Linked DNA regions of Danio rerio. Each later gene encodes a partner of the first gene's protein in a complex. Links are inferred from orthologs where the notes say so. Each region holds a gene or a part of one and is shown on either strand. Other genes may lie near its edges.

Evidence for each region. The genes of interacting proteins can lie anywhere in the genome.
Region 2: mcm3l (region 1) and gins4 share a complex: the UniProt entries of both Homo sapiens proteins name them as parts of the CMG helicase complex. The link is inferred for Danio rerio from reciprocal best matches to the Homo sapiens genes MCM3 and GINS4.
Region 3: mcm3l (region 1) and gins2 share a complex: the UniProt entries of both Homo sapiens proteins name them as parts of the CMG helicase complex. The link is inferred for Danio rerio from reciprocal best matches to the Homo sapiens genes MCM3 and GINS2.

The regions. Positions count from the first base shown.
Region 1 is NC_133195.1:6,685,449-6,689,203, forward strand, and holds the start of mcm3l (MCM3 minichromosome maintenance deficient 3 (S. cerevisiae), like), read right to left. Parts: upstream 2,554-3,755; 5' UTR 2,435-2,553; coding exon 2,363-2,434; intron 2,256-2,362; coding exon 2,143-2,255; intron 321-2,142; coding exon 112-320; intron 1-111. UniProt on the Homo sapiens protein: Acts as a component of the MCM2-7 complex (MCM complex) which is the replicative helicase essential for 'once per cell cycle' DNA replication initiation and elongation in eukaryotic cells.
Region 2 is NC_133183.1:62,250,872-62,254,526, forward strand, and holds part of gins4 (DNA replication complex GINS protein SLD5), read left to right. Parts: intron 1-1,355; coding exon 1,356-1,442; intron 1,443-1,559; coding exon 1,560-1,673; intron 1,674-1,874; coding exon 1,875-1,972; intron 1,973-3,363; coding exon 3,364-3,452; intron 3,453-3,655. UniProt on the Homo sapiens protein: Required for correct functioning of the GINS complex, a complex that plays an essential role in the initiation of DNA replication, and progression of DNA replication forks.
Region 3 is NC_133193.1:32,044,786-32,048,440, reverse strand, and holds part of gins2 (DNA replication complex GINS protein PSF2), read left to right. Parts: intron 1-512; coding exon 513-627; intron 628-707; coding exon 708-807; intron 808-3,655. UniProt on the Homo sapiens protein: Required for correct functioning of the GINS complex, a complex that plays an essential role in the initiation of DNA replication, and progression of DNA replication forks.

The DNA.
Region 1 (3,755 bases):
ATGGTCAATCAAGTTTGGAACAAGTGAAGGATGAGTAAAAGAGAACAACATTTTCTGTTTTGGACGAAACAATTGCTTTAATAAGTAATAAGTAAAGTAAATCTTACTCACACTTGGTCACGATGCCTTCCACACACACAAGGTTTCCCAGAAAGCGAGCACTCAGAGTACGAGGAGACACATGTTTGTTCCCAAAACTGCCCTCGAAACCAACATGAAACTCCTCAAACTGCTTAGCATAAGTGGCATCTATTGAAGCCACGAGATCCTTCAGGGCTTTCTGAAACGCCACCAGCTCAGCGAAAGCATTCTTCAGTAATCTATTAAAAAGAGACACTTAATCAGATCAATAAAGATTCAAGGATATACACTCAAAATTACATTTGCCGCTTCCACTACTTATTTAAAATAAGCTGAAACAACACAATTCAAGCTTTTTTGGGGGAAACCTAACAGTTTTATGTTAAATCAATATCCATTTGTAAAAACTAATAGGTTAACTTATTTTCTTCGAGATGTTTTAACACAAATTGATTGTGTGAAATCCAGCATTTTTTACAGTGTATGGGAGAATGGGGGCAACATGGGGCAGTTACAACAAGACTTATTTCTCCATTAAGGAATGAGCTATGGAGGGATGATATTCATACTACATATTGTCAGTTGGATCCTTCTTCCATCCAAGAGAAATCAGCCATATGTGACCATTTCTTCAGTCTAAAACTCATTTTAGGTATTTAAAAAAAAAAAAAAAAAAAAAAAATAGTTTTTTGTAATGATCAGAAAATTTCTCATACAGCCCAATCTGTTTTTGTGAAACATTATTCATTTGTATAATTTAAATCACTGTTTTCATAGCTTTAAATAGGTATAGCTATCAAGCGTTTGTAACAAGCTATTGTATCTCTCTAGCATGGAATGTTTAATCAAGGTTGACAGAGTTGCTGAACATGCTTCTGTAACTGTCCCCAATTGTTATAAAATTCATTTGAAAGCTTGCCATATTAACAAATGTACAATTTTATTGATCACAGTTTTAATATAATTTGAAAAAAATATTTGATTAATTAATTCATGTCAACATTCTTAGTAGTAGTTTGGTAAAGGTTCAATCTTTCAGTAAAAAAAAAAAAAAAAAAAAAAGTTCAGTTTTTTTAGGCCTTATAATTGGATGTTGCTCGTTTTTTTTTTTTTTTTTTTTTAAGGTTTTGTATTTATATGGCCAACACATTTAATAATTTAACCAATTTTCATTTAGTGGGTTTACCAAAAAATAAAATCCAACTCGAGGTTTTAGATTTTTTTTAAATTATAATTTGAATGAATGTTGCAATTGTCCCTTTCTTTAAGTAATAAATGAAGAATTTATTAACATATCTACACATATTATAGCAATATGGGTGCCTGTCCAACAGAAGTGAGTTTATTGTTTTAAAATTTTGGGGTTCCACAAAAAAAAAATAAAATTGTCTTCGAGAAACTGAAAGAATTGCAAAAAGTGTTGCAACTGTCCCCACTCTCCTCTACAGAGAATTTTCATCACACATCATCAGTCAGCCATATTGGAAACACAGAACGTAAACAATGTGACTGAACTGACTGAGAATCATATTATTTGCTTACTACTGCTGAAAATGATCAATTGTTTTGGGCTTTGCTATTAGATTGTATTAGAATACTGAAAGCCATGTAAAGTCAAGCAGAAGAGAGAAAAAAAAGCTGTCTGAAGAACAAAAAGTGTTTGTGGTTGACCAAACTAATTCACGATTTCCATGGCAAGAATCTTGATAACGTTCATGTTTGTTCTTATAATTTATGCTCAAGCGAGTGTAACATTAGGCTAATCTGGTCAAATGTATCCTTTACCACATGTTAAATCAAAATGCTACACCATATTCTGCTTTAGTAAGTGATTTAGCAGCTTCCATGTTTTTTTTTTTTTTTTTTGTATATTTTAGACAGCAGAGCAACATATAGTACATCAACCATGCTGTTTACACCAGAGTTTCACATGTATCTGGCCACATGTTTGTTACTGACCAAATCCCGAAGAGCAAACAACGTTAAAGAAAAAATCTAAAATTGTCAAAAAAGCAAAATATGAAACAAAATAGACAACTTTTAATCAAATTAATCACTTACTCTTTAGCTCTTTTTTCACTTTTTCTTCTCAGATCATTAATGTTGACAATGAGACGACACTGTCCATCAGACACCATACTCCTGACCTTTTCATGGTAGATGCCCTGATCTTGCTGTAAATTACAATAAAAAAAGATTTAGTTTGACAGACAAAAAACAAAGTTTATACAGTTCAAAATGCCCACAAGTCAAACACATAAAGATTATTCAAATTATTCACATCATCATCCAGAAAGTCCAGATATTCCCTCTGTGACTCTCTCAGCTCGAGGTCCTCTAACCCAGTATCCATTTCTCCTACACGCGCATCAGCATGTGCATTACAATATTTTAAAATAACATTCACAGTTCAACAAAAATCAAATGCACAAACATGAAGCAACCAAACCAAGCTGGTGCAACAGGCCTGACAATCAATTATGTTAATTAGGCTCATTAACTTGAGCATGTGATTATCCAACTGATTTGAATAGAGCTACCCCTATTTCGAACCATGCTTTCATTATGGTAAAAAATATAACAGATAACCATGTGTAGCCTATATCACGTTTTTACTGTAAATACAATGGTTAAACTGTGGTTAGTGTAGCAAAATCATGAATAATTCGTAATTATCATGTTTGTTTGTTTTTTTTTTTTACAAGTAACCATGTTTTATTTGTGTAATGGTAGCTGGACCCTATTAGCAAAATAGATTCTCCTGAACGCTTCTTAAAATGCTCGAGTCAAAAGGACAATGAATGCGCTAGACCCCCTTTGAATTATTCCATTCTTTTATACTGTATTTGAAGCTCTTACAGTGCTCTTCAGTTATTTTACTCCGAGCTGCTTGATACTGTTGACACTCACACATACTGTAGTTGCATAATACGCACATAAATTAGTTCATTTTCGTTTGTTACGACATTCCAGGACGAAGCCTCAGGCTACGGCTCATATGGTTTTATAAAATATTCATTCACGTTTTGGACGAATCTTCCTTTGCTCGGTTCTCTGCAAACAAACTCCTGAAGTGTCTGAAGGCGTTCCTCTTCGGTGACTGACTTTACCATTCAGCAAATAGGATTTGAGTGCGCGCTGTGAAGGCGTGTTTCATTGGTTAGACCTGAACGATTACGCCCCTCTCTATATGTAGTTCCTCAAGCTGGAGAAAAACTGCTTGTTCAGCTCTTATCTGGTAATATATCTAATGTCTGAATCCAATATTTTACATACTAATCAGTTAAGTAAGGGAGCGGGGCACAAAGTAACACTTTTTGGCTTTGGTCAAATAATAAACAAAGGTTTGGGGTTAAACAAACCATTTGTTTTTTTACCAACAAAACACAAGCCTCTCCTACAAATGAGCTCTGGTTGTATAATCGCCGGACTATTGTTTCTTTGCAGTGTTGCCAAAAGTGCCAGGAGTAAAAATGTTACTATTTACCTCACTTCAAGTTGTAACAGACAGGGTTAGTTGTAACACATGCTTAAAAAAAGGCAGATTACACACAGTTTATTTAAAAATTTAAAGTTTACTTTAAATAGTAGCTATATTTTCTCAGTACCTAGCTCAATTTATTTTTTATTCTACACAGCACAGTATGTTTTCCAGAGATGGGTTGCGGCTGGAA
Region 2 (3,655 bases), on another chromosome or scaffold:
CACCCAGAGGAAACCCACACGAACGCAGGGAGAACATGCAAACTCCACACAGAAACGCCAACTGAGCCGAGGCTCGACCCAGCGACCTTCTTGCTGTGAGGCGACAGCACTACCTACTGCGCCACTGCTGTAAACGCAAACCAAAATCGTCCCGGAGTGCAGGGGTCCGTTCTTCTTACCTCGCTTAAATGATCTAAGATGATTTGGCAGATCCTGGATCTTTTAATCTTGATAACTGATCTCTCGCTAATTTGGTTCTTCAAACAAGTTCGCAAATCAGATTAGAATGTCTGGATAAACTGATCTGAGATCGCTGCGTGTGTTGTAAAGGAAAGATCTATCCATCCTCGAAATCATGATCAGCAATGCAACGATTGGCTGACGGCACAGCAGCGTAATGACATCATCTGATTAATATTCAATTATCCATGTGAGCAAAATTACATCAAATTAGCAGTAAACGGCTTGTTAAATATGACACGCAATAACCTTCCACATTTGTTGTGAGCTGCAGGCTTTACACTTCATCATGTATTTCAATGCAAATCAATGTATTTAGTTCTACATTTAGAAAAGATTTTCTTTATTATAGTAGTTGTTTTTTTAATCGGTGTAAAGAATAACTGGTTGTTTACAAAAGCATTTTGATATTGGTAAAGGTGTCTGCAACTTTTGTGAAGCATCAAATCCATGGCATATTAACTATTAAAACATGTTTATGACTGCATAAATGTATTATTGCTTTAAAAAAAGTAACATATTCTGCATTTCTATTATACACAATTTGTACTAAAGCGATCTAAAAAGTTCATATCAATAAGTTTTCTCTTCGCACTACCAGGTGGCAGTCTTTGTACTTTCATTTCGAGGGTGCAGATTGCATAAGTTTTATTAATATGTATAACTTTATTTATTTTATTAATGACTATAACTTTATACATATATATATATATATATATATAGTTAAAAATATGTACCATTTTCCCAAGTGTATATAACTACTACTGTAAGAAAATATCAGAATTCAGAACATACTTTCTGTATTATATTTGCTTGAACTGAGCCGATCTAATCCTGTTTATATGAATTGAACCTGCTCCCGACCAGGTTTGACCTAGCAGAACTGTTGCTATGACAACAACTCTCGGATCAGCTTTGAAGAACGAAACGATCCTGGATCGTGTCAAATCATCAATATCCAAATCCAGCTAACTGAGTAATCCACGTACGAAGAACAGACCCCAGGAGCCTTTGCTCAAAGTACTCGTTAATGCTTAGTTTGAGGCAGTTTTAATGTGAGCATCATCACAGAGTAGATGAACAGTGTCTCCTAATGAGCGTCTCTTGTGTTTCAGGCTTGGCTCAATGAGAAGTTTTCTCCAGAACTGTTGGAGAACAAGTCTGAGCTGGTGGAGTGTGTGATGGAGCAGCTCACACACATGGTATGAGTCTGTCTGCAGTGTTTCTCAGTCTGATTAAACTTTGCGTGACGGATGTTAGCCTGTAGACGAGTCAGATTGACCGTTTCAGTATCGATCATGACTTGTGGTGTGATTTAGGAGGAAAACCTGCAGCGTGTGAGGAAAGGAGACCTGAAGGCCAGTGTTCACCGCATGGAGATCGACCGCATCCGCTTCGTTCTCAGCAGCTTCCTGCGCTCCCGACTCAAGAAGGTAAATCGAGCGTAATTTATTCAGAAAGACTGGCAGTACGCTATAGCGCATGTGTTTGGGACTGTGGGGGAAACACCCGGAGGAAACCCACGCCAACACGGGGAGAGCATGCGAACTCCACACTGAAACGCCAGTCGGGACTCACACCAGATCTGTTCTGTAGGCTGATGTTGTGTCCACGTCTGGTTTTCTCGTCTGCAGATCGAGAAGTTTTTCCCTCATGTTCTGGAGAAGGAGAAGTCCCGTGCTGATGGAGACCCCTCGTTCCTGTCTCCTGAAGAGTTCGCCTTCGCTAAAGAGTGAGTTCAGCGCAATCTGCGACTGTCGCACTGAGGATCTGTTCATGTCTGTCAGAGAGACGCTTCTGGACCGAATGATGAGGGCGATTGAGGACAGAGAGAGAGAGAATTTAAGTGTGTGTGTGTGTGTGTGTGTGTGTGTGTGTGTGTGTGTGTCTGTTTGTTTGTGTGTGTGCACGTCTGTCTATGTATGTGTGTGTCTGCATCTGTTTGTGTCTGTGTTTGTCTTTGCGTGTGTCTGTGTGTGTGTGTGTGTGTGTGTGTGTTTGTCTTTGTGTGTGTGGGTGTTTGTTTGTGTCTGTGTGTGTCTGTTTTTGTGTGTGTGTGTCTGTCTGTGTGTGTGTGTCTTTGTGCATTTTTGTTTGTGTGTGTACATATCTATGTATGTATGTATGTATGTATGTATGTATGTATGTATGTATGTGTGTGTGTGTGTGTGTCGGGTATGTATGTGTGTGTTTGTGTTAGTGTGTGTGTCTGTGTGTGTGTGTCTTTTTGCAATTTTGTGTGTGTGTGTGTGTGTGTACATGTCTATGTATGTATGTATTTGTGTGTGTCGGGTATGTATGTGTGTGTGTTTGTGTTTGTTAGTGTGTGCACGTCTGTCTGTATGTGTGTGTGTGTCTGTGTGTTTTTTGTTTGTGTCTGTGTTTGTGTCTGTTTGTCTGTGTGTCTGTGTGTATGTGTGTCTGGTATGTATGTGTGTGTGTGTCTGTTAGCGTGTATGTGTGTGTGTGTGTGTGTGTGTGTGCACGTCTGTCTATGTATGTGTGTGTCTGTGTGTTTTGTTTGTGTCTATGTGTGTTTGTGTCTGTGTGTTTGTCTGTCTGTGTGTGTGTGTCTGTCTGTTTGTCTGTGTGTGTGTGTGTGTGTCTGGTATGTGTGGGTGTTTGTTAGCGTGTATGTGTGTGTGCACGTCTGTCTATGTATGTGTGTGTCTGTGTGTTTTTTGTTTGTGACTATGTGTGTTTGTCTTTGTGTGTGTGTTTGTGTCTATCTGTGTGTGTGTCTTTGTGTGAGTGTGTGTGTAAATGTCTGTGTGTGTGTATGTGTGTATATGTGTTTGTCTGTCTTTGTGTGTATGTGTGTGTTTGTCTGTCTGTCTCTGTGCGTGTGTGAATGAGTGTGTACCTGATATCCATTACATTATGGGGACAATAAAATACAGCAATTCCAGTACATTTTGACATTGTGGGGACATTATTTTGGTTCCCTTGAGGAAAAGTGGCCCATAAATCAGACAGAATGAAGTATTTTGTAAGATGTAAATTTGCAGATTGTTTCCAGTGAGGGTGGGGTTGGGGAAGAGTAAATACAATAGAAACATCATTACATCTATGGTGAAGTCCCCAATAAACATGAAAACTCAATGTGTGTGTGTGTGTGTTCAGGTATCTGGCGAACACAGAGGTTTACCTGCGAGCCGTGGCTTTGAAACATATGCCACCAAACCTGCAGAGCGTCGACATGATGAAGGCCGGTGAGAAACACTTCTGTATTGAAATAGCCCCTATTATGCATTAAAAGGTCATGTTGTGGATTTGGGGGTCTCCAACAACAGGCTGATCTGCATATAGGGTCAAAAAACACCTTCATTGTCTTATAATATGCGTTTATTTTTACCTGATTACCTAACGACTCCCAGGTGATTCAATCAGTGATTCATTTTTTTTTCCCCCGAAC
Region 3 (3,655 bases), on another chromosome or scaffold:
ATGAAAATATACGTTTCTGGTAGAATGTCCTATATACTTAATGTTAAATTCTTTATTCATATGGCTTATTGGGCGGTGGCTCAGGGGTTTGCACAGTCGCCTCACAGCAAAAAGGTCACTGGTTTGAGTCCCACCTTTTGTGTGGAGTTTTCTCTGGGTGCTCCGATTTCCCACACAGTCCAAAGACATGTGGTACAGGTGAATTGGCTAAACAAAGTTGGCTGTAGTGTATGAGTGTGTGTGTGAATGTGAGAGTGTATGGCTGTTTTCTAGTACTGGGTTGTGGCTGGAAGGACATCCGCTACATAAAACATTTGCTGGAATAGTTGGGGATTCATTTCTCTGTGGCGATCCATGATAAATAATGGACTAAATTGAAATAAAGGAAAGGGGATTAAGATAGCATGTTTTGTGCCATCTCTGAATTACAGGTTTTGTTTAGACCATACTTTTTTGGTCACTTACAGCTAGCTACTTGAGTATGTATCTGATTTATTGATTAATTTTTCCAGGGAGATTTAGGCCCGTTCAACCCAGGTCTGCCTGTTGAAGTTCCTGTCTGGTTGGCCCTCAATCTTAAACAACGGCAGAAATGCAGGATAGTTCCTCCAGAATGGATGGACACAGGTGAGTTTCAGTCTGTCTGTGCTGGGACACCATCTATTCTGAAGGCAGGCTCTAAACGCTGCTGATCTTTTCATTTTCAGACAAACTAGAAGACATCCGTGAACAGGAGAGGAAATTAGACACTTTTACTCCCATCCCAAATCCATATTACATGGAGCTGACCAAATTATTACTCAACCAGTGAGTATCAGATCTCCTTCAGCCTTGTTTTTTAATGTAATGTCAGAGTGTGTCTCATTGAGGCTGTTTACACCTGGTCATTTCATGCATGATGCATAATTGTGAAAACGGATCTATTTCTATTTGTTCATATAATTGTGTCGCCACTAAAATGACAACGATCTTTAAATCCTTCACTATTTGGGGTTCTCGGTAAAATGTGAAATGTCCTGTTATCCTCCTATGATTTGGTGTGTCCTGTGATCCACAGTTAAAAATATACATTTTTTATTTTGGTTTGGGGATAAAAACAACTGCAGCAATACTGCCTTGTACACTTTAGATTACAGGGCTCAACAATAAGGACTGCCCGATGGCCCGGGGCCAGCGTGTGAGATGCTCGGGACAGTAGACAGGATCGTTACTGGCCCGATCGGGCCACTGCTGCCTTGTTACTAAAGTTTAATTTTCCTGTGATTATTTGTCAATTGCGTGCAAATACAGTTTTAGAATTGAGAAACAGTACGTATTTTCCTTATACCACTTATACCAAACGTTCTGCTCACACAACCCCAATTTTGTACGACCTCCATTGGCTCCCAGTTGCTTATCGCATTAAATTCAAAATTCTCCTCCTTGCATTTAGATCCCTAAATAGCCTAGCTCCCTCCTATCTCTGCAGCATACTTGTCCCCTACACCCCAACTCGTTCATTACGTTCCGCTGACTCTGGCCTTCTCGCTGTCCCTCGGTACCGCCTCTCTTCAATGGGGGGCAGATCATTTAGTGTTATTGCACCCAAACTCTGGAACTCTCTACCACACTCACTCCGCTGACGTCAACTTTCCTCACATCTCAGTGTGTTGAGTTCTTGAATTTATATCGTGTCTGTGTGAAGGAGAGAAACCACGAAAGTGCAAGTGGGACCACAACACAGTACATTGCCTTCAGTCACTCAATGTAAATTCACAAACAAAAAAAAAACAAATGCTGGTTTTCTTGCAAAACCCTGGCCTATAATTGTTAAAATAAAATAGCTTACACTGGGTCATTTATGTTAATTTTGAAAACTATACAGATCTTTGATTAAAATGTTAAATTTTTTATTTACTTATTTTTTTGCAGGAGGACAAAAACTGCTTGTATTTTTATATTTTATAAGTTGAGTTGTTAGATGTCCGTTATTCAATAAATAGGTGTTCAATTTGTTTTTTAAATTTGTTTGGAGCCATTTTTCTTTCTAAACAGCACATATCATACCAAAACTGTTATATTTACGGAACTGTGAGAAGTTTGAACGGTTGCAGCCCTACTTTCTACAGTATATACAAATGTATGTAGATAGCATAATCTAAAGCATCAGATACACTGCATTTTATTTATTCGTTCATTTTCTTTTTGGCTTAGTTCCTTTATTAATTAGGGGTCACCACAACGGAATGAACCACCAACTTTGTTGGTGCCATCTTTGAAACGGCTCTCGGGCAGTATGCTCAAAATTGCTTGCTAAACTTAAGATTAAATTTCATATCAGGAGTCACCAATAAAATAAAACAACAACTACTGTCACTTTAGTTTCATTTCTAAACATTTGAATCACACAAAATCTGCAGAAACTCATGTCTGACCTAAGCCCCTTCCCCGGGGAATCATCAGTCTATAGCGATCAATAATTGGCACCTGCACTAGAAGGTGGGGCTTCATTCGCCATATTGATATACGCTTACGATTAAACTCCATATTAGGAATCGCCAATAAAATTAAACAAGAACGGTCTCTTTAGTTTGTATTTCTAAGTGTTTGAATCAAACAAAATCTGCAGAAACTCACGCCTGGTCTGAGCCTCTCCCCGGAGTATCGTCAGTCTATAGCAGGGGTTGAGAACCTTTTTTTCGGCAAAGAGCCATTTTTGATTTTTTTTTTTTTTAAAATGCAGTTTTTTAAAGACCTATTGGATATAAACAATACAGGTTTAAACAACACCTTTATTTATGTACATGCACAACTCAAAAATAAACAAATATGAAGCATCACATGTTGAGCAAGTTTATGAACAAAGAATGGACAATTTATAGAACTTTTTCTTTTTGACATCATCATAAATGTTGTTTGAATTTTCATGCGTGAGGTTATAGAAGTGTAGGGTTCTATTTTAACGATCTAGGCACGAAGTCTAAAGCTATAAATAAATGAACAATAATAACAAAGTGTGGTCAAAAAAACTGAATTATATACTAACACACGTGCTATGCCCCATATGGTCCAAAACCCGACAGATGGACAAATCTTTTTAATAAAACAAATATAATGCGCATATAATAAATAATACTACTAATAGTTATAACATTATTAAAAAGCAAGTTGTTGTAAATAAACTGAAAAAAGCCTCCCGAGATAAAGGTATGAAGGTTTATATGTTTATGTAGAAAATTCAAATTTTTGTAATATTTTAATCCTTTAATTCTTTTTCAGTTGTACAGATATTTGTGTATAGTTGTACTTCCTTTGGTTTTAAGCAATGTGTAAGCGAGGTGGACACCTGACTCGCTCTGTGCTGGACTTTAGACCTTTCAGCTGGTCTAATGCTCAGTCTATTTTAGTTTCTCAAATTAAACAACACCAAACAATGTGCCTTAACACACCTGTTTTCTGGAGCGGAACACCCATGAGTCCACAAAGTGGCGCAAATGGATTTGCTTTTTAAACAATGCGGCAGAAAACTGGAAAATTAAGGTTGCGCTGGTCTAAAAATAGCAACACGTCGGGGCAAACACGTCTTGTGACTTATCGCGCCGGGTGTATGATAGGGCCCCTTAAGTTGTTTGCTTATTTCTTATAAATTTTTCTGTAAATAAATACAATAAAAAAG